Linked DNA regions of Coturnix japonica. The protein of the gene in region 1 interacts with the protein of each later gene in a pairwise test. Links are inferred from orthologs where the notes say so. Each region holds a gene or a part of one and is shown in the gene's direction. Other genes may lie near its edges. The genes, in order: HTT, TRAFD1, MKRN2, DNAJA3, MED31, WAC and TANK.

Evidence for each region.
Region 2: the proteins of HTT (region 1) and TRAFD1 interact in binary tests that used the Homo sapiens proteins (3 or more experiments, as listed by UniProt). The link is inferred for Coturnix japonica from reciprocal best matches to the Homo sapiens genes HTT and TRAFD1.
Region 3: the proteins of HTT (region 1) and MKRN2 interact in binary tests that used the Homo sapiens proteins (3 or more experiments, as listed by UniProt). The link is inferred for Coturnix japonica from reciprocal best matches to the Homo sapiens genes HTT and MKRN2.
Region 4: the proteins of HTT (region 1) and DNAJA3 interact in binary tests that used the Homo sapiens proteins (3 or more experiments, as listed by UniProt). The link is inferred for Coturnix japonica from reciprocal best matches to the Homo sapiens genes HTT and DNAJA3.
Region 5: the proteins of HTT (region 1) and MED31 interact in binary tests that used the Homo sapiens proteins (3 or more experiments, as listed by UniProt). The link is inferred for Coturnix japonica from reciprocal best matches to the Homo sapiens genes HTT and MED31.
Region 6: the proteins of HTT (region 1) and WAC interact in binary tests that used the Homo sapiens proteins (3 or more experiments, as listed by UniProt). The link is inferred for Coturnix japonica from reciprocal best matches to the Homo sapiens genes HTT and WAC.
Region 7: the proteins of HTT (region 1) and TANK interact in binary tests that used the Homo sapiens proteins (3 or more experiments, as listed by UniProt). The link is inferred for Coturnix japonica from reciprocal best matches to the Homo sapiens genes HTT and TANK.

Annotation. Positions count from the first base shown.
Region 1 is NC_029519.1:74,630,080-74,634,055, reverse strand, and holds the start of HTT (huntingtin), read left to right. Parts: upstream 1-1,176; 5' UTR 1,177-1,376; coding exon 1,377-1,477; intron 1,478-3,976.
Region 2 is NC_029530.1:5,458,046-5,461,545, forward strand, and holds part of TRAFD1 (TRAF-type zinc finger domain-containing protein 1), read left to right. Parts: intron 1-346; coding exon 347-749; intron 750-2,080; coding exon 2,081-2,347; intron 2,348-3,127; coding exon 3,128-3,198; intron 3,199-3,390; coding exon 3,391-3,500. UniProt on the Homo sapiens protein: Negative feedback regulator that controls excessive innate immune responses. Regulates both Toll-like receptor 4 (TLR4) and DDX58/RIG1-like helicases (RLH) pathways.
Region 3 is NC_029527.1:3,307,016-3,311,248, forward strand, and holds the start of MKRN2 (probable E3 ubiquitin-protein ligase makorin-2), read left to right. Parts: upstream 1-1,433; coding exon 1,434-1,459; coding exon of another isoform or gene 1,460-1,538; exon of another isoform or gene 1,539-1,553; intron 1,554-1,630; coding exon 1,631-1,759; intron 1,760-3,028; coding exon 3,029-3,207; intron 3,208-3,477; coding exon 3,478-3,782; intron 3,783-4,233. Other genes in the region: MKRN2OS (MKRN2 opposite strand protein), read right to left, coding at 16-178, 980-1,029, 1,102-1,538. UniProt on the Homo sapiens protein: E3 ubiquitin ligase catalyzing the covalent attachment of ubiquitin moieties onto substrate proteins.
Region 4 is NC_029529.1:11,215,033-11,218,339, forward strand, and holds part of DNAJA3 (dnaJ homolog subfamily A member 3, mitochondrial), read left to right. Parts: coding exon 1-18; intron 19-465; coding exon 466-613; intron 614-1,447; coding exon 1,448-1,512; intron 1,513-2,373; coding exon 2,374-2,502; intron 2,503-2,919; coding exon 2,920-3,035; intron 3,036-3,307. UniProt on the Homo sapiens protein: Modulates apoptotic signal transduction or effector structures within the mitochondrial matrix. Affect cytochrome C release from the mitochondria and caspase 3 activation, but not caspase 8 activation.
Region 5 is NC_029534.1:8,576,323-8,580,591, forward strand, and holds the start of MED31 (mediator of RNA polymerase II transcription subunit 31), read left to right. Parts: upstream 1-1,469; 5' UTR 1,470-1,630; coding exon 1,631-1,640; intron 1,641-2,841; coding exon 2,842-2,919; intron 2,920-3,509; coding exon 3,510-3,606; intron 3,607-4,269. UniProt on the Homo sapiens protein: Component of the Mediator complex, a coactivator involved in the regulated transcription of nearly all RNA polymerase II-dependent genes.
Region 6 is NC_029517.1:13,929,218-13,933,485, reverse strand, and holds the start of WAC (WW domain-containing adapter protein with coiled-coil), read left to right. Parts: upstream 1-1,468; 5' UTR 1,469-1,564; coding exon of another isoform or gene 1,565-1,581; 5' UTR 1,582-1,583; coding exon 1,584-1,624; exon of another isoform or gene 1,625-1,630; intron 1,631-1,746; coding exon 1,747-1,783; exon of another isoform or gene 1,784-1,864; intron 1,865-3,228; coding exon 3,229-3,424; intron 3,425-4,268. Other genes in the region: Sjoegren syndrome nuclear autoantigen 1 homolog, read right to left, coding at 1-245, 1,565-1,581.
Region 7 is NC_029522.1:25,234,229-25,237,728, forward strand, and holds part of TANK (TRAF family member-associated NF-kappa-B activator), read left to right. Parts: intron 1-2,566; coding exon 2,567-2,734; 3' UTR 2,735-3,500.

The DNA of each region.
Region 1 (3,976 bases):
ATAATTTAAAGTGACTAATATTACTAGCTTGGAGATTTCACTTGGAGAAGTGTGCAAAGGGTAAGGAGATGAAAGCAAAGCACTGTGGTATGAGAAACATAATATGAATTTTGTTCATGATTTTTCATAGGATGCAGATGAGAGATGGCAGCAGGTTGTATTTACTGCTGATGTAGACTTTTATTTCGATGAAGCTATAATTAGAAATAGAGTTTCCTGTTCAGAATGCCTTCATTTCACCTCTGTGAATTCAGATCCTAGCTCTGTTACATGATTTTAATAGCAGCGAGACAATCCAGCAGCCCAACTGCTTTGTTCTGTTGGTGTGAGATACAGGAAGATCTATCAGTTCTGTGGAGCTGTTTCAATGAGATCAATCCTTCTTTGTGGCTTTTGTTTCCAAACATTTGTTTCTGTAAGTCTTAATGTCTGCTTGTGTGTACCTCATGAATCCACATACAGGTAACTTTCCTCATGCTCCACATACGTCCAAACCACCACAGTTCCTTCCATTTATAGCCATGTTGACTGTTAAATGTGTTAGCTCCAGAACCACTCGAGTTAATTGTTGTATGAGCTGTTTTCCTGGATGTTCTACCATTGTTACTCTTGAAATAAAAGCAGAACACTGCCACATCTCTCAAACACACCTATTATTGTCTTATGTGCTTTGTTTAGCAGCTCTTTCACGGTAGCCGGGGTAGGTAAAGTTGTCATGAAAACAATTAAAATTACAAGTTGTTGAAATAGAAATGATTGCTGATTCTGTTGTCTCAGCAGCTATAGGTACATTAAAGCAGAGGTTGTACTTCAATCCATTATTTTTAGTTAAAAAAAGATCTTAATACTTGAATTCCGCTGTCTCTGAGAGAAGCAGCCTTTAAATAGGTATGTTTTATATGTGCTTTAAGAGGGCAAAAGCAGGTCCAGCATCACGAGGCTGATGCTGAGCGGCCAGCGGGTCCCCTGCCAAGCACTAAGTGCTGGTTCCTGTAAGTGTTTCCCCTTTTTCCTCACAGCCCAAAATAACGCCTTAGTGCCGGTAGCGCTTGGCATCAGCTCAGCGCGATAAGGGCTGTGAGGGGATGGATGGATGGAGGCTGAGGCGCCCTTAGTGCCGCCAGCGGGCGCCCAACCCGTGCTGGGCGGAGCAACCCAGGCAGGAGCGCGGGGGCTGCTGGGCCAACCCCAAGATGGCGGCGGGGCAGCGGGGCGGAGATCGCGGCCCCGAACGGCGGCTCCCCGGCTCGGCTCGGCTGTGAGGCGCCAGGCGGCCTGTGAGGAGGGTGTGAGGGGGAGAGGAGGGACAGGCGGAGAGTCGGGAGCGGGAGGAAGGACGAGGGCGCTCGCCTGTGAGAGGGCGGGCCGGAGCGGCGATGGCCACCATGGAGAAGCTGATGAAGGCCTTCGAGTCGCTGCGATCCTTCCAGCAGCAGCAGGTGCCGGCCGTCATCCCCGAGGAGCCGACGCTGAGACCGTGAGTGAGCGGAGCGGGACGTGGGGTTGTGGCAGCGGGCGGACGAGTCCGGAGGTGCCGCCTGTGTTTGTGGCTGTTGAGGTGGCTGCAGGTCTCTGGGTGAAGGTTTGTAAACGCTGCAGCCTTGTGAACTTAAGCCTTGTTTGACTCAACATGAGCCAGCAGTGCGCTCTGGCAGCCAGGAAAGCAAATGGGATCCTGGGCTCCATGAGGAGAGGGGTGGTCAGCAGGGATAGGGAGGTGATTGTCCCTCTCTACTCGGCTCTTGTGAGGCCCCATCTGTTGTACTGTGTCCAGGTGTGGAGCCCTCAGTACAAAAAAGACATGGAGATTTTGGAAAGGGTCCAGAGGAGGGACAGGAAGATGATCAGGGGGCTGGAGCACCTCCCCTATGAGGACAGGCTGAGGGAGTTGGGTTTGTTCAGCCTGGAGAAGGTTGCGGGGTGACCTCATTGCAGCCTTTCAATACCTGAAGGGAACTTACTCCCAGGAGGGGAGTAAACTCTTCGAAAAGGCTGATAATAGCAGGACACGGGGAAATGGTTTGAAGTTAAAAGAAGGAAGATTTAGGTTGGATGTTAGGGGGAAGTTCTTCACTAGGAGAGTGGTTAGGCCCTGGAACAGGCTGCCCAGGGAGGTTGTGGATGCCCCGTCCTTGGAGGTGTTCAAGGCCAGGTTGGACGGGGCCCTGGGCAACCTGATGTAGTAAAGGTGTATGTTTGGTGGCCCTGCCAGGCAGGGGGGTTGGAACTACATGATCCTTGAGGTCCCTTCCAACCCGGGTCATTCTGTGATTCTGTGAAAAGATCTTAAGTTTAGCTTAAAATCTAGGATTTGTCTGTCTTTAAGGAATGGATGTAGATAACTGCTTATGGCAGGCTTTGCTTGAAGTCTTGCGTTGTCACGTGTTTTGAGCTCCAAGAGGAAATAACACAAATGTTTCTGCTATCTCTTTGTGTCCTTAGATATTAGGGTTGGAGGCACTGAAAAGATGTTTGTTCCTATCTGCGCAATGCTCTGGTTTCAAGTCAGGGAACCTGCAGCTTTGCTGGAGGCCAAGGAGCTGTTCAGTGCCCCAGTGCTGCCTGTCGGCTTTGCTTTCTCTAAAAATAACTTTTATTGAGCAGGTGAAAAGGCACTAAGGACTTTAGTGCACTCGGTAAGTGAGTCACACTGTTGCTGTTTCTCCAGACACGAGGGAGACAGGAGGAACACAAGGGCTGAGGAGCAGGTAGCTTCAAAATTGACAGTTTCAGGTGCTTTTGGCAGAGCTGATCCACAATGGAAGCTGGGCTCTTGGCCACCTGCTCCCACAGTACGGTTTGAGACAGATGCCAGCTGGATTTGCCACGGTTCATACTGCTTGGACACTCTCACCTCAAACACTTTCATTGTGTCATTGATACTCTTGGGGACACAACAGATGAAAAACCTTATTTTCTTCATAAGCCAATTGTTTTCATATACCTCAGTGTTTACAGGGACTAATTGCTCTTTTATTTTTTGATTGTACTATGATTTTGCATGGCATGGAGAATAGGTGGACGTCTATTTCCAGTCTTTACTGTGCATAGCAGAAGAAAATCTAAGCAGATATTGCTAGGATAGATCATCTTATTTGAAAAGAAAGGCTTGAAAATAATTTGTGATGCTTGCAGGGGGATGTTATGGTTGATTTGGGGGTTTGCATTTAGTCATACCAGAATCAAAGCGCTAAAAAATCAAGCTTGTAATTGTCCTAGTTGACTTTGTTTTTTCCTGTTTAAAAATAGACTGGTTGTTTTCAGAAAGCTGATAGTATTGCATGCCCCCAGGAGCTTTACCAATTCAGAAAGGGCACTGAGCTCCATAAAAGCCTATGAAACGATATTGTGCCAATCTTCGTTGGAGTTTCCTGAATTGTTAGTGAAATACCAGGTGACATCTTGAGCTGAACTCCTGGTGTTGGTTGTGTTTTCCATCCGATGGGTTAGAAAAGAGAAATGCCTTCTTGTGTTCTTTGCACATAGGGACCAGCGTTCATCTTAATTGTGATCCTGCACAGATAACCCTTAAATATTTAGCAGTGCTGTATGCTAACAAACTACTCTCTCCTGATGTGTAATATTTTAAGATCACGGAGGCTGGAGCTTAGAGATGGGAATTGTTTGCACAAATGTCATCGTGACAATGAATTTTGAGATCTTGATAAAATAATATCCTGGTTTTACATTTATTATTAAGGTATTGATTGAATTCAAACATTGGTAATGTGAGGGTTCTTTTCTCTCCTTTCCTCAAGGTTTTAATCAGCAGTAATCACTTATTGTGGTTTTAGTGTGTGTTACAGGCATGTCAGGTTATGGCCTCCTCTCTTTCTGTGGTTGGTTTGGCCTTCTATGAATGCTCAGATTGAGCTCTCTGTCATCATTTTGCTTCTACAAGCTTCTGCTGAGGCACCTTCTTGTCTTCCATCTCTGTTTTTTTGCTTTTTTGGACTCCTGAATTTTGGTTGGAGTT
Region 2 (3,500 bases), on another chromosome or scaffold:
GCACTAATAAGTCTTTAAGCAGTACTTAAATGTGGTTGTGAAGAATGTTTCTTAAAAATTAACTTTAAAAAGCACTATGTGAAGCTGCTGTTAAAGCATTGCAGGTTTAAAGGGAATGTTTTGAATGTTGGTAGTGCTTCAGCTGACAGCTTTCTGACTACACAGGTGATACAGTGTATCATTCTTTTATTTCTTGTATAGTATTTTATTTCAGGCTGCTCTTCAGTGCAGCTTTGTATCTAGCTAAAGAAACAATAGCAAGCTCAACTCAAGTAAAGTGAGAACCTCCATTTACCTTTGCCTCCGTCTTCCATATGTTAAGAATAATCCCTCCTTCTTTTTTTAGACATCAGCGTGCCCTTTGCGTCCTGCAGTCTGCCAGCATTGTGACATCCAGCTTACTTTCAATAAGCTTCAGGATCATGAAAGTTACTGTGGAGCTAGGACTGAGATGTGTAGTGGTTGTGGCCTTAACGTAATGGTAAAAGATCTAAAAGAGCATCCCCAAGTCTGTGGGAAAGAGGTGAAGCGAGTAAGCAAAACAGTGCCTCGCTTTGAGGCAGAGGATGCAGGTTTGCATGCCCTTCGAGACATTAGAAACCAGTTAAGATCAGATAACTGTGCTGTGCCTTTGTGGAGAATGCCCAGGGCACTAGAAAGGCAGATCTATAGCGACTCTGTAGGAGACAAAACACTTAAGGACATTAGAAGAAGAAATGTTTCAAGAACACAGAGAAATCAAAATCAAGGTAAGGTATAGATGAAAGTAATAACTTGTTTTTAATCTGCCATTTGCCAGGTGATCCAAGTAAAAGATTTATGTGATACTAAGTAAGAAAAGTTGTGGAGGCAATGAGTGTGGCACTATTTTGTTGTGGAACAAAGCTGCAAAAGTATAAGCCTCCTAAATGGAGGACTTTTGAGGTAGCTGGTGAGATGACAGCACAGGCAATGCACTGGGCTTTCACCTCAAGAAGTACCTAACTTTAAAATGATGCTGGAATTGTTTGCTCACTTTAAATCCTTTTGATTTTTATTTAGCAGCTCCACTCTTCCTTTAAGTAGAAGGCTAGGTAAGATCTGTATGTGGTTCACATATGAAGTGCTGAGCATTTCTGCAATAACAGCCTGTCTGGACATAGCTGAGACTGTTATAAATGCCTCTGCTTGCTCATAAGCCTCTAATCTCCCACCTCCATGTGCAGAGGGTCATGTCACATTTAAGACATGCCCTTTCCATGAGCTCTCTGCTGAACGTGTGCTCTGCTTTCTGCTGTGGGCTACTCAGAGGGTTTAACACTGGAAAGTACTACACTGCAGTCTTTGCCATAGAAGACTGCCTGGCTTGCAGAAATAACTTTTGGGGTTAGTTAATGAAGCTAAATGCTTGGAGGACTATAACTTGTCCACTTGTACTGAGTTCTAAATTATCTTCTAGTAAGATTTTCATATGTGTATTAAGTTTTCTTGAATTTCTGATATAATCAAGATGAATAAAATGCTGGAGATATTTGAAACATGCCAGCATGGGGGAGGAGCTCAGCCTTCCACTAGACATCATCAGTTCAGTCTTGGGCCCTGTTCTGAAATGTGGTGGGTTTTTTGTTGTTGATTGCTTGTTTTTATGTATAACTCTACGACGAGGAAACATTTCATCATTTTCTTCTGTATGTGTATAATACCCATTTGTCAAATGTAGTATCATTAAAAGGAATTTGTTTTTCCACTCACACATTAAAGAGACAAGGTTGAAAAGTTCCAGCCTCACAGAAAGTAGTAGATGCGTGTTAGAATTGAGCCTTGTTCACAAGGTAGGATACAGAACTTCTCTCCTTAACTTCATAATGTTTGTGTAAGCGGAACAACATTTTCTGTTCTTCTTTCTCCTCTTTTTGGTTGTTACAAACAGAAGCAGGATGACTGTTTTCCTTCTAATTTGATACAGGAAGTGTCCTAGGCTGTGAAATACTGAACTCCATGAGTGTCCGCACGTGAAACCCTCTTGGTTGAACTAGACTAATTTGCTTAAGTAATTGTTGCAGGTTTAACGTTACCTAAAATTTATATTCATCTTTTGAAGAGTATGGACTGGAGCAGCTGGAGAGAAATAAAAACACTAACTCACTTTATGAAGAGCAGAATGCCAATTTAGACCACATGTTGGCTCTTAGCCTTCAGAATGAGAATAATCCTCGCAATAATTCTGCGGCAGAGATTCACAGGGACGTCTGGGAAAACCACTATGCCAAAGAATCTGTGCCATCTTCCTGCCCCAATGAAACAGACAACTCAAATACCTTTCCTTATGACTCTTTATTGTCTTTGAACACTTCAAACCACTTGAAACGTAAGTATAAATGCTGTCTTATTAAGTCTGAGAGAGAAAGAGGATTCTTGGATGCAGACTGTCAAAGATCATCTAAGTAGATCAAAGTGAAGCTCTTTGAGACTCCCTCTAAATAATTGTTAAATAATTAATAGTAGGAGATTAAGCATGCCATTTCTTTCTTAAAAGTTATCTTCTGTCCCCTCAAAAACAGTAATACTTCTTTGAACAGAAGTAAAGCAAGACAGAAGGGGAGGAAGAACTAAAAGGTGTAGTGGAGCTCTGACCTTGATATGTTCATCCAGAAATTCTTTTCAACTCATAACAGTTCAGAACAATGCAAGGACAAGCACTGATATTACTCCAGGCCTTCAGTTCTAAGTGAAAACACTGGTGTACCTTTAGAAGCAAAATAGGTGCCTGTGCCCATCAGTGCTAAGGGATTCATAACAACAGGCTTTCTTGCTGCCTTCCTATCATGTTTATTCTCAACACCTGTGAGAGACCTGAGGTGCCAAATTAATTTGAAAGGGAAAATAGTATGAAGGGATTTATGTGGGGGCAGTAGTAGGCTTTTGTATCATATATTTGACCCCAAAACACTTTTCTGTCTCTGGGTGATATGGATTTACTCAGAAAACTCAACAAGTGGGACTACAGTAACTATTTCCTTTGCATTTGCTTTGGTTGCTGTTCTGTGCTACAGTACAGGAATTTATTGCTTAGGAATTTTGAATCTAAGTTGATCCAAATGAAGCCAGGCTCTATATGGTAGAGGATATAACCATTATTGCTTTGCAGGTGATGAGATCATGTTGCCGTGTGAGTTTTGTGAGGAGCTGTACCCTGCTGAAGATCTGATTCTTCATCAGGTTTAGTACTTCTTTGTATTGTATCTAGGAGCTTGCAGTTAAGACCTGTTTGTTACTGTGACCGAACAAAGGTGCAGTGTTTGCTCAGTGATACAGTTAAAGTCTAGTAATTTTATCTTTGCTCAGCATTATTTTTAAAACCCCTGTGTGCTAAATGAGATGGCTAACTTTTCTATGTTACTTGCTTAACAGACAGGTTGTAACCCAGCAAGTGCCTTTGCTTCCTTCAGTAAAAGGAGTTCTCTGGATCCACAAAAATATGATGATCTGCATAATATTGGGTACAACAGCTATAGGTCTGA
Region 3 (4,233 bases), on another chromosome or scaffold:
TGTTCAGCTACATACCTGTGAGGAAGCCACTCCTCTCCCATAGAAAATTCCTCCAGGATTTGATCCCACTGCTGAAGAAGCTCAAACATGTCTGGCTGTACTAGTGGGACACTAATGCACTGCTCCCATCCGCTTTCATCTCTGTGAACGCCCTCTTCATTGTAATGATACACCACTCCTGGAAATAAAGAGCAACAGGTTGGCAGGTAGTACAGAGGAAATGGATTCGTGTGCATTTTTAAGTGTTGAAAGCTACTGGTCTTTTTCTTAATGCCACTCTTTTAACTAGGCCATAGCTTCCCCTCAGAGGCCTAGAGCTAGAGCAGGAAGTGCAATGTTTACTTGTATCAAAGAACTGTTGTCATTGTTACAGGGTAATTTCCGATCTCTTAACAAGGACTGCCAGGTTTCTTTTTGACACTTCCTATTCAAACCACTTTTCTATTAATGCAGTATCTCACTCGAAACATCCATTTGATGGGCTGCTGTGCTCTGGGAACCTGTAATGACTGCTAACGTAGTGTTTGCTTGCTTGTTTTAGTTAGGGATGACTTCAGAATTAGCAATATCAGTTTAATAAGCCAAACTGTTTGCTGCCTGGCTGTTATTTGTTTGTCACGAATACAGGTCACCTGTCAGCTCTGTCCTGTGCAGCTCCTCAGCACTGAGTGGAACTGGGAGAAGAGCAGCACATGGCTGTGACTCGCTCAGCGTGCGGATGTCTGCAAGGCAAGCTCACTAATGGGACGTGGGTGTTGATGTGGGTGTTGATGTGGGTGTTGATATCTATGTGCTCCTGCAGGCAGCAGCTCCCAGCTCTTACTGCTGTGTTACTTGGCCCTGCCGGGCAGGGGGGTTGGAACTACATGATCCTTGTGGTCCCTTCCAACCCGGGTCATTCTGTGATGCTGTGTGTGCAGCACTGTGTGTGTGAGGCAGCATTGCCAGCAGGTTGTCAGCCATATTCAATGCGTTTTACCCCGAGCGCTGGATATTCCCACGTGCAGATCCGAGTTCCCGTCGTATTCTCTGAAAGAGAAACATGGCCCGTGACACACGAGCCGTGCGCGTCCCGCTGTTCAGCCCCGTCCCGTCCCGTACCGCAGGAAGCTGCCGGCCGTGGGCCGCAGCAGGAAGGCGCGGTGCTGCCGGTGTCCGTGCACGAAGGGACATTGGAGGCTCACGGGGGCGCTGAGCAGCCCGGCATCGCGCAGGGGGCGGCCGCACACGGGGCACAGCGGGGGAACGCGGCGGCAGAAGATGGCGGCGGCGCAGTGCCGCACGTACAGGATGGCGGCCGCCTCCATGGCCGACGCTCTATCCCGCCGTGCGGCGTCTCTGTGGTGCGGAGCGTCGGGTAATTGTGGCCGTGTCGGCCCCGCCCCTTCCCCGCGGCGCAGCGGAACCGGCCGGGCGGGGAGAACGGAGCGAGGATGAGCACCAGGCAGGTGACGTGCAGGTGGGTGAGCGCCGGGCACGGCCGGGACCGATCCGACACGGACGGGCCGAACCGGCGGGGGGTCCCGGGAGAACAACATGCGGGGGGCCGGGATGGGCCGTGTGGGGCGGCGCTGTGCGCGGGAAGGCGCCTCCCAGAGAGGAGCCATTTATACCGGGTGCTTCTCCACAGGTACTACGTGCAGGGGGTGTGCCGGGAGGGGAACAAGTGTCTGTTCTCGCACGACCTGTCCAGCAGCAAGTCCTCCACCATCTGCAAGTACTACCAGAAGGGACAGTGCGCCTATGGAGCCCGCTGCAGGTGAGAGCCGGGCCGTGTGCTCTGAGGAGCTGGGGGGACGCGAAGCTCGAGGAGAGATGAGGTGTTTGAGTGGCAAAACGACAGAGTAATAAATCAGCAGCGAGCTTTGCTGCCCCTCCTGAAGCCAGCGTACATGGGCATAGTGTTATGGTTTGACTGGGCCTTGTCCTGTGGAAAAGAGGCATCGGGTTTTATGTGCTTTCACCTCGTCTGAGGAGCGTTGGGTGCTAAAAGCAGAATGCCATGTGGCAGTGCCAGGCTGTGAGGTGTGCTATGGGCTGTACAAGGCACAGTAGTGTTCCAGCAGTGCTTTGCTGCTTTTGTTCCTGCACATCCCGGTGCTGAGGTTAGAGGAGTTAGAGTTCTGTCTTAAAGTGAAGCGGGTGTTCTTTGTGCTCCTCTCAGCTCTGTGGGCAATGGTTCCATGCCTTATGCTACAGCCTTTTGGTTCAAACTCCTGCACAGGTGCTCTGGTAAATGCTGTGTGCCATCAGCAGTGTGCTGCAGAGCTGGGGCAGATGGAGTCCTGTGTCTGTGGCACTCAGCAGCAGCCAGAGGTGTCAGGGTGTCGTGTGGCTGCAGTTCTGCATTATGTTCCTTCCCTGGGCTCTGCCTGTGCTGTCAGACCTGCATCCAGCTGCACTTAGAGTTCTGCAGCTCTCATAGGTTGCTCAGATGGAATTAACACTGTATGCAGCTGCAGAGTGCTGATGTGCTGCTCCAGCAGTGTTGGGACAGCTGAGGGCTCTGGATGCGGATGGGCTGCTGATGTTTGTGGCTTTGCAAGAGAAACTTTGTACTGTACTGGTAGCTTCTGTTCTGCTGCTGAGAGCATGTTTCCATAGTCATTTGGAACCTTTCCTGTCCTGTGTGCAGACACGACATCATGGTGGTATGGGAGCAGGAAGTTTTTATGTCCCTGCTTGGACAGGGAGAATGAGATCACATCAATCCTTACTGCACGGCTTTTTAATTTTGCTTCTCAGAGAAATGTCAACAAAGCTCTTTGCGTGAGGATGACAAAGACCTGATCTAATGTGCACGTGAATGATGCTCTTTCAGCTGTGATAGGCCTCTCTAAAGAGGAAGATCTTGACATGCTTTCATTTTGCTGAGTCTGAGAAGTCTTTCAGTCTGGCTTTGAAAGAGACTGAACATTTCAGACAACTCATTAAAACAACCCTTTGTGTAAATAAATACATTCAAAGTAGCCGTCCTTCCACTGTGCCCTGAGCTGAGCTTTTCCAGCGCTTACTGTGCTTCTTACAGGTACGACCACATCAGGCTCCCTGCCTCTGGGGGTGCAGCAGCTCCTGTGCCTCCTGCTATGGCATCAGCAGCGCTGCTCAGCCCTCGCCCTGCACCTGAGCACAGCACACCTGCAACCAAGAGCAAGCTGCGGGAGAGTGGCAAACGGGAGAAGAAAACGCTTGTGCTCAGGGACAGAAGTGAGTAGGAGGCGACTGTGCTTATCCTTGATGTTGTCCTCTGGTTCTGGGTCATTTTTCATGTTTTTTTTTTAACTTGAGTTCAAGGACAGTGGGAAAGAGGTGCTGGAGATCTTGTAACATAGGAGTGAAAGAGGCTTAGGGCTGAGAAGATTTGATTTAGGAGACATTTGTAAAGCTAAAAACTGGTATTAATTGAAAAGAAAATATAGGGAGCATCTTATGTAGGTTTTGTGGTGTGTTGTTAATATTACATTTTTCTTTCTTAAGATCTGTGTGGCTTGAATGAAGAGAAGGAAAAAGCCAGTGCCGCAAATGATGTGGTGTGTTGCAGTGACAAAAGTGATAATGTGGAAATGAAGCCTCATTCGTATTTGGAAGCTATTTGCAGTGGGCTGGAAGATCCAGTAGCTGGAAGTTCCTTTGGTGATGGAGAGCAGCTGTGTCCTTACGCTGCAGCAGGAGCGTGTCACTTCGGGGAGCGCTGCCTTTACCTGCACGGGGACGTGTGTGAAATATGCGGGCTGCAAGTGCTTCACCCTTTTGACCAAGAACAGAGGAAGGCTCATGAGATGGTAATGTTAACATGAAATCAGTGTGAGATGCGTGTGCTTAGTGCTACATTTGGTTTATTTTTTAAAAATAGAAAGGTGTGTTTTGTTGTAGTTTGTCTATCTGTGGAATGACAAGCATCCAGGGCCCCAGTGGTAACATTGATGCTGACAGCACTTTACAGTGACTTCCCCTTTCTTATGGGAAACTTGCCTTCTTCCCAAATACTCTAGGACTCTTTTAGGAAGATGTCTTTTGTAGCCGACGGGAGGTCTCAGTTGTAGTGCTGTAAAAGGAATTGGTACATCACTGAGTACGGTGTGAGAACTGCTGTAGGGAAGCCCATCATAAGAAACCAGTTCCTTATCTAGGGTAAAACTTAGAGTCTGATGACTGAGGCCTTACTGATAAACAGAGTAACATCCTGAGTGCAGCATCCATACTGGACCCTGAATTAGATGGGACTTAGGGATA
Region 4 (3,307 bases), on another chromosome or scaffold:
TGCAATGGCACTGGCATGGTAAGTCTTTCTTAAGAGACAGGTTCTGCTGTACTTGTATTTCTTGGCACAAGTCACCCTTCCACAGTTTCTTAATAACATCATCAGCTTCTTGAGTGAAGCCAGGTTAACGTGGACTTGATGTTGAATATTTGGAAATGTGCTCTGTCAAGCTAAAAGCAGGACAAGGTCATCTGGGACTGTGTGTGATATAACAATTCTGAAATTACTTGGGACTTAAGTAGAATACTTTGAATTGAGGGTTGGGGAGAGGAGGAAGACAAGGATAACTTTAGGGTAACCACTGAATGAGAAGTTACGTGCTACTTAGAGTAAGTAAAGAAATAATCAAGCTTCAGAGAGCCCAAATATTCTTGGTCAATCACTGTCGGTGGTGTGAAAGTGAGAAGTACCATCTTGATAGCAAATGTTTGTGTGATCATTTGTACGACCTGTTTTCTTCACTAGGAAACAATAAACACTGGCCCCTTTGTAATGCGATCTACGTGCCGAAGATGTGGAGGTCGTGCTTCCATCATAACAACACCATGTGTGGTATGTCGAGGAACGGGGCAAACCAAACAGAAGAAGACAGTGATAGTTCCTGTGCCGGCTGGTTAGTGTTGTGTTTGTGTGCTGCTCTCTGTTACAGTGACCGTAGTTATTTCCACTAGGCTGACAGCAAGGCGCTTACCTATAAAGCGAGGCTTTCTCTGCCAGCTGTGGGTGTCAAAGCAATGTAAAGTTGTTTTACTTTGGAGAAGTTATCCTAAGAATAAAGCAGGCTGATAACTTGGTCACTGAAAGTGTGCACAATGAGAAACCTTCTGACCATGCATTTATACATAGTAGGTAAAAATGTTTGTCCCTTTTGGAGCTGAAGTTCTGGTTCTTGAGTGGATCCTTCTAGACAAGTTTTGAAGATTTAAGCTTTGCAAAGGTTTTGTCAGCTTGTATTTCTCATTGCTCTTGATGAAATTGGTGGGGATGGGAATCTTGCAAGCCTGAGCTTAGCTCAGAAGAGTTTGCTGTTTGCTTTTGTCAGCAGAGGGAAAAAGCAAAAACAGGAGCAGTGGGACTGAAGACTTGATGCCTCGAGGCTGCCTTGGGTGGCAGCTGGTGGTTTCCCAGTAGTTTGTAGAGGCTGCCCAGCGTGGCTCAGTCTGATGCATTTCCTGGATGAATTGTGTAGGGATTGAGGTTGTGAAGCTGTGTAGGGGTGCCCCTCTGCTCGGCAGCAGCAGTCACCTCTGAGGCACAGCTGTGTGCTGCTGCACCTCCTGGACTGGGGTTTGCTCTGCTTTTCACTGGCAGGTCTTGTGCTGCTCAGGTGCTGCTGAGGTGGGATGGGGAGGGATGCGAGCAGAAGAGCTGTACGAATTCCAGTAGCACATGGATCACAATACAAGATAACTTCCCTTTGTTTTTTCCCCCCCTCTTCCTAATGCAGGTGTTGAGGATGGGCAGACTGTTCGGATGCCTGTAGGCAAGAAGGAAATTTTCATTACCTTCCGGGTATGTATTGTTACAGCACAAGCTCTTCCTGCTACTAAGGCTGTTATTTATTCCCTTCACAACTGTGGGAAGTCTGAATGGGGGATGGCAGGAGAAAGAGCAAGTGATCCTTTGAAACAGCTGAGGTAACGTGATCCTCATGAGCCTGCAGAAGGTCTGCATTGTAACATTCAGTCTGCTCCTCTGGAGCTGTGCTGCTCATTCCAGGATGAGGCCTTTATGGTCGTGTGCATCAAAATACAGAGCAGGTTCTCGATGCCTTGAGAGTTTGATGTGGAGATTTGAAGAAGCTTTCTGCGCCCAGGAGGGCTGCAGGAATGTGCACACGAGGCTGGTCAAGTGTCCTTTTGCAGACTTGCATTAAGTGCTGCTTTGCACATTCTTTGTAGCTGGGGCCCTCTTCTCCTGCAGGTAACAATATGCACCTCTGTCAATGAGAACCTTTTTCCATTACCTTTGTGCTGCAGGAGAATTTAATTCTCTTCCAGTTTTCAAAGCTGCTACTAAAGTTCTTGCCCTCCTCCTCTGGCTTTCCCTTTTTCAGGGCCCTGGACAAGACAGTGTCATCTTTGTCTGCAGTATTGCACTGACTGTAATGAACTAACAAACAGGATTAGTGGGGGGGAGTTGCTTAGATAAGCAGACGTACTCCTAAATCTCTGGCTAATTACAGTTACGTAATGATCTGTGCTGTTCTAAAAGACTGAACATTAAGCTAAACTAGTCATTACCATGGACGGTAAAGAACATGACTACTGCTTTCTTCTATGTTTTCTGCTGAGATCTTTCAAAGTAGCTTACCTTACCTTGTTCACTTTGTATTGTTCTGCTTTCTGTTTTGTGGAACTACCTACCTTCTAGGTTCAAAAAAGCTCAGTGTTCAGAAGAAATGGAGCAGATATCCATTCAGAGCTCCTTATTTCGGTAGCACAGGCTGTGCTGGGAGGGACAGCCAGGTGTCAAGGCTTGTATGAGACAATCAATATCACAGTAAGTAACGTTACGTGGAAGAGCTCTGGCATAAATCAGTGTGGGACATCAGAGCCTTCTGAGTCCATCTGGATCAGGTTTCAGACTCACTAAGGATTGAATGTCAGGTAGTTTGTGACCTGCCTTGGTCACACCTGCTTTACAGCTCACTGTGTGGGGACATGGGAAGGAGGGGCTGGATGGATTGCTGGACACATCCCATCCAACATCTACTACACTGTGCTAGTTTCTTTTACTCTGTCCTGAAAAAGCTTTTCCATCAGTATTGACTTCACCCCTGAGCGTGTCCAGCTGCACAATTATACCAGATCTGCCATCTTATTTTGAATCTCATTAGTGAAATACTTGTTATAAACATGTGCTAACTACATACATGCATGCAATGGAACAATGAACGTGACACCTCTGTGTTCACAGATACCACCTGGTATTCAGCCAGACCAGAGAATTCGAATTAGTGGGAAAGGCATTCCCAAGGTTAACAGTTACGGCTACGGAGACCACTACATTCACGTGAAGATAAAAGTTCCTCAGTAAGTAATATGGATTTCTGTGAGATCTGAAGCTTCTTGCAATAAAATCTTGCTCAGGAAGATTTTATGAGGATTTCTCACTGCTTTATCAAGATCTGTGTTGAATCTTCTTTGGACAGCTTATGCTGTGCTGGTCAGCCAAGGAATTCATTCCTTGAGTTGTGCCCTATGACGTTCTATTGCAGCTCCACACGGTTCCTCTCAGCACTTCCACAGATTCTAATTTTTTTGGTGTAATTTTTTGGTCACATCTCTGGTTGTCCCAGATATAC
Region 5 (4,269 bases), on another chromosome or scaffold:
AAATATATAATTTATAGGGACATCTCACATTGATTTTATTGTCTAGAATTACTACTGCAGCAAAGTGTCCCTTTTTGGAGTGTAATTTTAAACTCTGAATAGCTTTATTTGCTTTGGGTAGAAAACCTTATCTGATCTGTTTGTTAGCTAGTGGCTGTTTTATATCTAGATCTACTATGAGCATGCTCTCAAAATGCATTAGGAAAACAAGGGTTCAGCACCAGTGCTCAAACAGAGAATAGGGTTAGCAGTTCAGCTCCTATAAAAAGTGAAACTGAGGCAGTGATGTTATGATTTGATGATGATAAAAAGGAAAATTCTTGGCTCAAACACACAGCTTAATACCTCTTCCCTGAAAGTCTGACTAAGCTAATATTTAAAAGCATAAATAAATCCAGCTTTTCCTAGAGAATGTTCTTAGTTTTTGTAATATGACTCCAACTTTCAATTTTGTTCCTAGTTTTGATGGCCAAGAATTGCGTTCTTGCACTTTACTCTGGCAAACCTACGTAGTAATTTAATTCATGTGACCAAGCCTTTCTTAGGATTCTCTCCTCTGAAGTCAGTCTTGGGAGATACATCGTGTTCCAGAATAGCACTGCCAATGCGTGGGATATGTTTGATCTCTGCTTTTAGACAAAAGTCTGTATTTACTGGGGAGTGACCTGCTAATTCTGTTATAGTAATGGTAGTACTCCACAACCACTAAAACCTTGGGGAAAAAAGAAACAAAACACAAAATTATTTTATTAAGGAAAGCAATGCAGAAGTCTTTTTTTAGGTGGTCTTATAGCCTAATTTCTATTGGGGCTGGAGGGGAACAGTTACACTACATAGAAAGAGATAGCACTACAGGAAAATGCTGAGACACTGAAAATAGTTTAACAAATCACAAATTTTAAAAAAGAATTAGGATTCGTGTTGAGCCTGTATAGTGCAAACTGTTACACAAGTGCCTAATAATGCAATCATAGCAGCAATGGAACTCAGGTAGCTTGACAGTGCTAAACCCCACCAGTCTTTGTTTTAACCAAGATATGAACATCCAGTGTGTGACCCCAGACATGAATGCAGCATTAGGAATAAATCTGCAACCTAAGTGCTGAACTCTTCTCCAGGTGCAATAGCATAGTGCTGTTCTGCACCCCTGGCGCATCTGTTTAACTGGTTTCACTACGACATAACTTCTTAATAAATAAACTGCAGAGGTTGTGTGAGATCAGCTCAGCATGAGCTGCCAGGGGGAAAGGGGAAAGGGAACGGGAAAGGGGAAAAGGGAAAAAGGGAAAGGGAAAAGGGAAAAAGGAAAAGGGGAAAGGGAAGAAAGAAAAGCACACACATGCCTAGGAAAAAATCCATCCCAGAACATTGCTCCTACAGGTACCTTCCAATCGTACTGCCTGTCTGGTAACAGCTCTCTTTCAAGACAAGGGGAAAAAAAGTTGCTCCAACTTTAGTTTATTTCAAAAGGTCATTTTCTACACAACTCGCATCATTAACGCAGCTCCTCACCACCACAGACCTTCCCATCTTGCCTCGTTGCGCCTCCCGCCTAACTCCCGCCTGCCGACAGCGGGCGCTCCCGCCGCCATTTTGAGGCCGGGCGGGGAGCGGAGCCCAGCACGCCGCCATGGACGCAGGTGAGCGGCGCGGTGCGGTGCGGTTCGGGCAGGGCGAGCGACTCCGGGCCACGGAGAGCGTCGGTGGTCCTGCCGTGCAGAGTTCGGGCGGTTCGGGAGCGATGGGCCGACAGGCTCCGAATCGTTTTCCTCGGGAGGGGCCCGGGGCGGTCCTGCTGCGCTGCCCTCCCGGCTTGGCCCTTCTCAGGCCGTTGGCCCCGTTGGGGCCCTTCGCGACGTTCATGGAGACACCGCGGCTCTTACCTGCCCGGACGCCATGGCAGCGGACATCCCACGTTGCATCTGTGGTCGAGGAGCTGAATCTTTTATAGACCCCGAGTGTTTGGATGGAGGGGACTTTATTTACAGATCGGACCTCCCGCCAGAGCGGCCTGCGCGGTGCCCCTTCCAGCCTTCCCTTGTGCAGCTCCAGGGATGGGGCCCCCACAGAGAGGGGCGGCCCGTGCCGGGGCCTCACCGCCCCTCGGAGAAGAATTTCTTCCTAACATCTAACCTGAGTTTCCTATTGTTTGAGTTTAAAGCTGTTCCTTCTTGTTCTGTTGTTTTCAGTCAGGGTGGAAAGTCAACATATTTTTCTATAAGCTCCCTTTCCACGCTGAAAGACCAGAGTGAGATCTCCCTGAGCCTTCTCCAGGCTGAGCAAGCCCAGCTCCCTCACCCTTTTGTCATAGGACAGCAGAATCTTGTGCTGACCCCTGGGTCTGTCATCAGTGCCTACTGTACACCAATAGTGTGAGAACACTGCAGGATTCTCACTAAACTGAGACATCTCTGTACAAAACAAACAAAACAAAAAGCAGCCTCACGGTAAGCATTTCTTAAATTATGTGCAAGGAGGCTTTCAGTGAGCTGCTGGTAGTGTTCTTTTCTTGCCTTCTTATATTTTCCTTGCACTAAAAGCAGGCCCCTTTCCCTTCCCTTTTCATATATTCTACATAAAGTGTCAGAGAGCATTTCTCCATTATTTGCATCGTTTTTAGTTGTTAAAAAAACAAACAAACAATAGTACATGTATTAACATGGGCCCAACACTTATTCATGTAATAGAAAAGACTGCTAGATGAGCCCATACTTGTGGGCTCTTGGTGCTTTATCTCCTCTCTAAACGTTTCTATTTTTGTGGCTCAAGTTGAGAAACTTACTTTTAAATCTGCCATGTAAGTCCAGTTTTTACTGTTTTTTTTTTTTCTCTTGTATTCAGATGATACAGGAAATCGACTTAGGTTCCAGTTGGAGTTGGAGTTTGTTCAGTGCCTAGCAAATCCCAATTACCTCAACTGTGAGTACTTAATGTCAGGGATCCTGAGAAGTTAATGTTATTTAACAGTTTAATGATTACGTGTAATGGTAAACTGTGTGTGTGTGTGTGTGTGTGTGTGTGTGTGCAGAGGCGAAGGGTAAACAAAGAAAAGGGAAGAGATCTTTAAGGAAAAAAGTAGTCTGAGGATAATTTAATTTGTCCGAATTTCAAAGGTGAGGTAGAAGAGGGAGGAGATGACACCTTTAAAATGTGAAATGATTATTTCTTGAAATAAAACACAACTGTCTGGTGGAGAATAAGTGCACATCTGTAGTAGAAAATAAATAATAATAATTACATTTCAATCTTAGAAGTACTCATATCTGAAACCAACATTTCACTAATGCTTATAATAGTTTCAGGTGGAATTCTTAATTTCTTTGGTTTTCCCTGACAGTTTTGATGTCAGAAGTTCCTATTTTTGAAGACATCGCATCCTTGTTGCTGTATAAAAGTTATATGCTAACTCACTATGCTTAACTTGTATTAGAGTGTTGACTTAAGATATATTTTTCCCTTTGTGTTTTTTTTTTATTGAGTTGTAAAAAATTCCTTGTCTCTTATTTCAGTTCTTGCACAAAGAGGATACTTCAAAGACAAAGCTTTTGTAAACTATCTTAAATATTTACTGTATTGGAAAGAACCTGAATATGCAAAATACTTGAAGTAAGTATTAAAAGCCCTCAGGTTTCTGCATTTTAATGATTTTTACCTTCTCTTATGCACTGTAAAGTAGCATGTGCATATTTGATTTCTCCCTGCAGCCAAAACATGCACTGTGTTTATATGCAGTATAAATTTTCCTGTTTCCTGTAGTCTGGGATAGGCACAATTAAAGAACGTTTCATTCTTGACATATGCATGGAATTTTCCATTTGCAACCTTTATCTGCACCTTCTATCTGCATAAAGCAAGATTACTGAACATCACGGGACAAAACTACTTCAGCCCATTAAGAACATTCTGAGAGTGATTTTTGCCCTGTTGATAGCTACACAAAGAATCGTTTTTTTTCATTTTTTTAATTAATGTTTAAACTCAGTTATTGAAATTTTTTTTGTTTACTTCAAATGAGCTCTGGAAAGAGCTATTTAATTAATTAGTTTTTGTTTTAATGAAATCTAGTATTTATAAAAGTTATTTTAATCAGCTCCGTGTATGTATTTATATTGTTATTGGATTCCCTGTTTTCTAGCCTTGTAGTTACTGAAGGTATTAAGTTACAGTGTATGGAAAAGGTACAGCGCTCACTGTTTCAGGTACTTGAGTAAGGCACTAAATGACTAAAATAATGGAGAGATACTGGAGACTCCAGTTCTAGTGCACCTT
Region 6 (4,268 bases), on another chromosome or scaffold:
TCTGAGCCAGGTTTTCACACACCCCCTCCAACTGTTCATTGAGGGTTTGAATTTCATGCTGGAGTCTGCTTTTCTCCTCTTCTGCTTGCTGGATCTGTTTGTTCAGCTCCTCTTTTTGCATACACAAGTCTTCAATACACTTAACGAGCTCATTGTTGTAACCCTGAAGAACAGCTCCCTGCTGGGTCATCCTCTGCTCCTGTCTGTCCGTGAGCTTCCTGAGGTGTCCTCTCAGCTGCAGCCTTCTGCACGTTAACACAAAAACAAGAACAGAGAGAAAAACTATAGTTATAGTGTGATGCTATGTTTAAACACAGCATTGTGGGGAAAGATGTACTGCTACAGGCCAGTTCTGAGGGGGGCTTGTCACTTCCCTTTTCATTAAGGAGGCAGGACAAGATTCAGGCTCTGTATCATTGCATGGTTTGGGGCCCTTCAAGGCTATCAGTCCCAACACCATGCCGTGGGCAGAGCACCCACCCAGCAGCTCATGCTGCCCGTGGGCCCATCCAACCCAGCAGGGCTGGATCACTCCCAGCTCCTCAGGGCAGCGCTGCCCGTCCCGCTCACCCGCTCCCTCCACGCGTGAGGCGGCCCGAGCTCCGCCATCGCCTCAGGGGGAGCTGAGAGGGAAGGAGGGACGCGGCCCGGCCAGCCGCTTCCCCAGGGACATTTTAACAACCACTCCCTACCGAGCGCCTCTCGCCGAACCCAACGTACACAAAATGGCTCCTGCCTATACATCAAGGCGCCGGGCGGAAGGGGAGGGGGGAGGTGAGTGAGGGGAGACCTTCCCTTTCCTATCCCCCCCGCACCACCTCGGCTCCTTTCGCGGTCCCCCCCCATCGCCCCCACCTGCCTGCCGCTGCCGCCCCCGCTCGCTCCCCTCGGCCAATCGGCCGCGCCCCGCCAACGGCCGCGCAGGTCACGGAAATAGCCGAACGGTTCCGAAGGCGGCGTCACCCCGACGAGAGCGTGAAAGCCTCTCTACGGAAATAACCGATGTTTTCCGAAGACAGGTAGCGTTCGGGAGTGGAGGACGAGGCGGGCCGGCCGGAGGGGGGGGGAGAGCTACGGAACGAGCCGATGTTTGCCGAAGGGAGAGACTGAAGGGCGTTGGGCTCGGCGGAGACTGCCGATGTTTGCCGAAGGCAGAGTCGCCCGAGAGCAAAGGGGACAGAGGGGACGGAGCGCGTCGGAAAGAGCCGAAAAGAGCCGACGTTAACCGAGCGCGGCGTCGCCCGAGTTTCCCGGATGTAGTTGGAGGAGCGGCGACGGCGGCGGCGGGCGCAGCGGGGGGAGGAGGCGGCAGCGGCGGCAGCGACGGAGTCCGCGCTCCCGGAGCGCCTCAGCGGGGCCGAGCTGCCGGCGTCTCCCCTCAGGCTGCGCGCGGCGGAGATGGGCCCGTGAGCGCCGCTCCCAGCACAGCTGCCGAGCCGCCCCCTCCCTCCCTGCCCCCTCCCTGCCCCCGGTCGGCGGCGAGGCGGAGCGCCGCTCCCCTCCTCCCCCCTCGGCGCCCGTAGGCCCGGCCGCGGCCGTCCCTTCCTGGTCCCCTCACACTCACACACACAGGCCGGGCATTGATGGTAATGTATGCGAGGAAACAGCAGAGACTCAGTGATGGGTAAATCCCCTCCTCGGCCCCGCGGCTCTCCCCCCGCCTCCGCCATGTTTGGGCCCCTTCCCGGCGCCCGGTAACGGCCCTCACTAACGCCTCTCTCTCTCTTTCTCTCGCCTTCTCCGCAGCTGTCACGACCGCAGGGGGGACTCGCAGCCCTACCAGGTACCGCCGCGCCGGCCGCCGGGCCCGGGAGGAGGAGGAGCAGGGCAGGGAAGGTGGGGGGGGAGCTACTCCAGCCCAGGCTTCGGCCGCCGCCGCAGGCCGCGCTGCCCCGCGCGGCTCCCGCCCGGCCCGCGGTGCCTTGTAAGGCCCGAGAGGTGGGGAAGGGAACAGGCTCCGGCCCGCAGCCGGGGGAACGGAGCCGCCGCGCCGCTGCGATGGCCGGGCCGGTAGGAGAGGCCTAGCGCGGGGCCGGGGCCTAGCAGACGGGAGGTGCGAGCACAGGGGCGGGAGAGCGCGGCCGGGTCACGGGCGGAGGAGCCGAGAGCCGGGGGAAGGGGAACGTTGTCCTCCTAAAAACAAAAGGCGGCTTGTTCGCCCCCCGCCCCCCTCCCCGAGGCCCTTCTCCCCAAAACTGCTGCTGCGGGCTGTAACCTGAGCAGGGCATGATTTTAGACCCTGAACTGGGGTTGTCAGTAGGGCTTCGTCTCCACAGTTGCCAGTCTCTACAGTTGCCAGCTGCTGGGGGTGTTCAAAAACATCAGATCCTCTGGCTTTTGACAGTAACTTCAATTTAAGTATGATGAGTCCCGTAGTCTAATGCCTATGAGAAATACGAAAGAATAAAAATAAGAAAAATAAAATTATACCTTAAGGAGGGTGTGAGTCTGGGGAACGCTGTGTGTAGGGATACTGCTCTTCTTAGGGCATTTAACTAAACCATTTTATTACATTTCTGAGTGTTTCTATCACTGTGAAGTGTCATCTGATGGTCCGAGGCAGCTGTCAGTGACAGTTCATGTAATATAAAACACTTGCCACTCATGAGCTCGCTCTGCAAAATCAAGCAGATCAAAAAGAGACATAACTTGTTAGTTTTGGTAAATGTTCCAAAATGAATTGTCACATTATGTTCTGCCCTCTTAAATACCCCCCCAAATTCTAGATTTTTATTGTATCTGTTATGGGCTTGCTAGTACTGAAGTCTATCTGCAGAAGCTTAACGTTGATGCAAAAGGAAGTGGCCTCCATTACAGTATGGATATTTACAGTTCACTCTGTTTCAATATAACTGTCTCTTTATTTCTTTAGTACCAGCTGCACTTGTGCTTGTTTTGAGTGTCAGAGGTTTTGTGCCCCACTTACCGTTTAAAGTATGCAGTCCTTCACTGAGAAAATAGGAAGAAATTAGGCTTATCTTAACAGCAAATGTTATGTTGGATGTCGTGGTGAGAGCAAATGGTTTCAGTCCTAATTACAGAACTTGTTGCTCTAATGTAGGTAATTAAAACTAAGAGGATGAATAGTGGTTATTTAAATGGGAAATAAAAATTAATTACTTCAAAAAGTGTTTTAGAAGAAAGATCTGAAATTTATGACTGATGTTAAAATGTTCTTTCTGTATCTATATCTGATGAAAATGCCTGTTTTCTTGTGATCTTTTTCAGGCTCTTAAGTACTCATCCAAGAGTCACCCAAGTGGTGGTGATCATCGTCATGACAAGATGCGAGACACCACAGATCCTTCACCACCAAATAAAATGTTGCGGCGCTCTGATAGCCCTGAAAACAAATACAGTGACAACACAGGGCACAGTAAAGCAAAAAGTGTGCATACTCACAGAGTTAGAGAGAGGGATGGTGGTGAGTTGTCTTTAATTAACCTTTCTTTAAGCGATTACTGTTTCCTCATAAAATTAAACAGTTGTCACTCAGGTGAAGGGAGCATTGCGTTGAGCGATGTTCTTTGATGCTCGGAAGACTGCTGTGAAACCAAAAGCCATGTTTGCTTGGAAGCAGGCATTGTAACACCTGTTAGCTGTCTTATTTTTACAGGTATGAGAGTTCTGCATACTGCAACGTTCAATAAGATAAAACCATATTCTAGAGTTCTAGAGATTGACAATCTTAAAGGTTTAAGTTGCTATTTTAGTAAAAATAATTTAGTATTTCTGTAATGTAGGTATGTGCTTCCTGGGCTACACTCTGAGAATGATAAAAAATAGCTTTAGATCTGGTTGCTGTAAACTAACAATGTTAAAATCAAAGATAGCACTTAGTACAATATCTCCTGGCAGAAGCTTAGTCAGGTAGCCTCCTATCTTTTTACAGTGTAATTCAGATGATAATAGTGTGCTCAGAAGTTTTAAGCTGGTGTTATTTTCTATTTCTACCTCCTAAAAACGCCTAAGAGTAGAGTTTTCCTTTTGGTAAAGGAGAGTAACAGCTGGAGGTTTAAAAAGTTTGTTACTGGGTTTGGAAGTCTGTTTTGTAAGTATTCTATTTGTTCTTTGTATTGGGTTATAAAGTATTCAGGGACAGAACTTGAGACAAAGAAGCACCAGGAAAAGTTCTCTATAAAGTAAACAGCCTGGGATGTACAGGTGTATTTATCACTGCAGTATTGTTACTTATTAAAGTAACAAATATAATATCTTTGTGTCCTTTAGAACATATTAGTTCCATACCGCGTGTACATTTATGGTGC
Region 7 (3,500 bases), on another chromosome or scaffold:
TTATCCAGAAATTTGTTTGAACTAAGCCAATATTACTTTAGAATTGATTAAATATCCATCTCTTTCTCTCTCACAACATCCATCACCTATAATTAGATGCCTACAAAAAAGTTCTTAAAGTACTTTTCCTAGTGAATGGGACTTGGTTCCAATTCCTAATGAACTGGATTTACAGATAATATATGTGTAGATTAAAACAGTAGGGTTTTATTCATGTTACTTGCATACATGTCTTCTTATTGTATTTTCTTATTGTATTAAATTTAAAACAAAAAAAAAACAAAAACAACAACAACAAAAAAACAAAACTGTGAATAACTTGTTCCTGGGATTTTTACAGCATTTTTAGGGAGTTGTTCCAGTTCCATCATCCCTGCCACTGGTAAATCTCCATCAGGGAGCAATGAGATACCTGACTGTTTTTTTACTAGTGCAGATAAAACTTTCAAGTATTTACTACATATGTTAACTTATAAAATGGAAAACCCCATAAATGCAGTAGATTTGGCAACAGTAAGTTCTTGGAACTGCTCTCAGTTGCTGTAATAAATTTAGCTCTTTCCTTCTTTGTGGATACTAAATGTGAAAACTCAGTACTGTTTTCTTCGGGTGTAACTTAAAAAAAAAAAAAAAAGAAAATGACTGAAAAGAGCAGCAGATTAAAATAAGCACGGATATATGGATATTAGTGGACCTGGGGTTTTACAGACTACTGTTAATTGAAACTTGCACGGAGATGCATTATGTTTACCAGTATTCACAATTTGCGGGGGTTGTTTCAGCCAAAAGCATCTCTAAGAATGTTCATGATTTGAAATCAAGTCAGTAGTCTATTGATCGTAATCTAGGTCTTGTTTTAGAAATGAAACAGCTGCTTAAATGAATCTCTGCTCTGAAGAGCATTTTAAACAACACTCAGAGGAAAAAATTAAAGTTAAGTGCTTGCTTCAGCATTTTGCTGGATTCTTTCTATGTGGTGGTTCCAAGGCTGGAAATCTTACTGTGTCCTATTATTTTTACAATAATATTTTTAATGACCATTTACATAATTTGGTATTAAAAAACAGTAATTTTAAACACATTCCTGGAGGGATGTTTGAGTGTGTCTATGTCTAGAAAAAATTAATGTGCAATTTACACCAGCAATGTACAGTAAGTGGGCTCTTTTAGCTGAAAAGAAGTGGTGTGATTGCACTTAATTACTAATTAGCCAATTTAATTATATGGATTGCTGACCATAATGAAAGATGGTAAATCTGCTACCACTGTCTGATAAGCTAAACACTGTTTAAATATGGAGAGCATGAGGAATTGACTCCAGGAAGTTGCAGCTGGTTTAAATACAGGGATTAACCACTGTGAAAGCCACGTTCATTGTACAGTGAGTTACCATGGCGGGGGGGGATACAACAGATTCTAAGTATTTGACATGATAAATGTGTGAAAATTAAAACTCTTGGATTAGAATGGATAGCTAGAACTTCAGAATTTCATAAGAAACTACTTTCTAAAGTATTCTTACTTGCGTTTCCACATGTGATTTAAGCAATAGAGAAGAAAGATGAGCTAAAAAACTGGATGGTGCTCTCCTTTTCTAGGTTCCAGCCCTATGTAGATCTGATAGCAACTAGCTGCCATTCTGTCCGCTCTGCAGTCACAGCAGTATGCATTTGTTTTTCAGTTTATTCAAAACCTAATTTTCCTGGCCTTGTAATATAACTATGTATTTTATCTTGGGTTTGTTGCTAATGTTGAAGTAGCAAAACTTAATTTTTGACTTTGCTTTGATGAATTTCTTAATCCTGGGTATTATCAAGCCATATAACTGGCGTACGCTCAGGCTCATGTCCCCATGGTCTTCAAACAGACTTGCTGGCTTTCAACTGGCTCACTCAGGTAGCAAGAGCAGCAGCAGCTGCTGAAGCAATTTTAGCATAGCTTGCAGACTTGCCTGAGTGTATGGATGAATATTCCAATGGCCCTATTGAGTTCATTGCTGTCATGGAAGAAAGAATCCCAACACTGAGACTACCTGAGACATGCTTACACTAAAAGGCAGTCAGAGCAATTAAGTAACTTTGACCATGTGACATTGCTGTAGTTGTTTTGCAGTTAAACTGAAAATTAGATGTGTACCAATAAGAATAGAAATATTTCATATAACCTTTGTACAATAAATAATTATTTTAAGGTTAAAAACAATGGTACTAAAGATTTATGTACTAAGGCTTCTACAGTAAATATATATATATATATATATATATACGATGTTAAAGAAATGAATTTATGTCATACTGATATTACAGAACTCTGTTCATGGCATCATTTATCATTAATAGATATCAAAATATCAAGTACTTGCAAAGGTAGTATGTTTAGGAGAGTAAAAAAAATGTATATATTGCCTTTTTTAAGTGAGAATTTTCTCCAGTTAATGCCTCTGCCAGGCTTACGTTAAGTAAACCTAATATAAAGAGGGAGGTATATTTTTAATATAAATATGTACCACAGCATAATGTAATTCACATCATAAACCACAGCAGTAATCATTTTCTGTTTCTTTTAGCTCATTTGGCAGCCTCGGGACAATGATTTGCTGGCACAAACTTATACAGACTCTGAACTGAATCAGCGTGGAGTATGTGAATTCTGTCGAGAAGTTTTCCCACCATCTCTAACATCTAAGGAAGATTTTCTTCGGCATCTGAATTCCCACTTTAAAGTACAGTCTTAACATATGAGAATTCAGCGGGTCACTGTTTTTGCATCCATTTGGGTTTTTTATTATTGTTGAATAGATTTGCTAAGAATTTAAGAATTGAGACTTCTTGTAACAAGAACTAACTGAAATTATCAGATAAGCACATTTTTTTCATTGTCATTTGATGAGGTGAAATGCAACCGTAAGTCAGTACTGTAATTCACTTTACTGCTTGTCATGCTTCAATATTGCCATTGGGATTGTAGTTAAAAGCTTTTTTTTTCCCCCAGCTGATCTTTGCCTGAATAGGCTTGAAGTCATGATTATATTTATCAGGACAGATTTGCAGGATTAAGCCTTTAATCTGGGACAGAAATTGGTGTACAGCTAGGATTTCTTCTCAATATCCACTGATACAATTCTCTAATTGAAGGAATCGGGAAAGAGGGGTAGGCTCTCATTTTTAGTTTCTATTATAAGATTTGTTATAAAAAATAACAATTGTGTTGATGTATCTTTCCAGCATTAATTATTAGTTAAACTACTTTCATGCAAAATATTAATATGAAGGATGGAGTAAGAAAAGGCTAAAGTGTCCCTAAAGGTAAGAATACCAAAGATGGAAAAGTTTACCTTTCTTTCTAGTCTGCTATGAAGGATTGTTCAAATCTGTTATGGCTTAGACAAGCAAGGGGAAAACCTAATCACAGAAGTCTCAGTGACTTCAGTTCTAACCTGAATATGCAGAATGGTTTTCTCAATGCAGTTTAAATGCATTTAGTCAAAACGTTGCATTTTG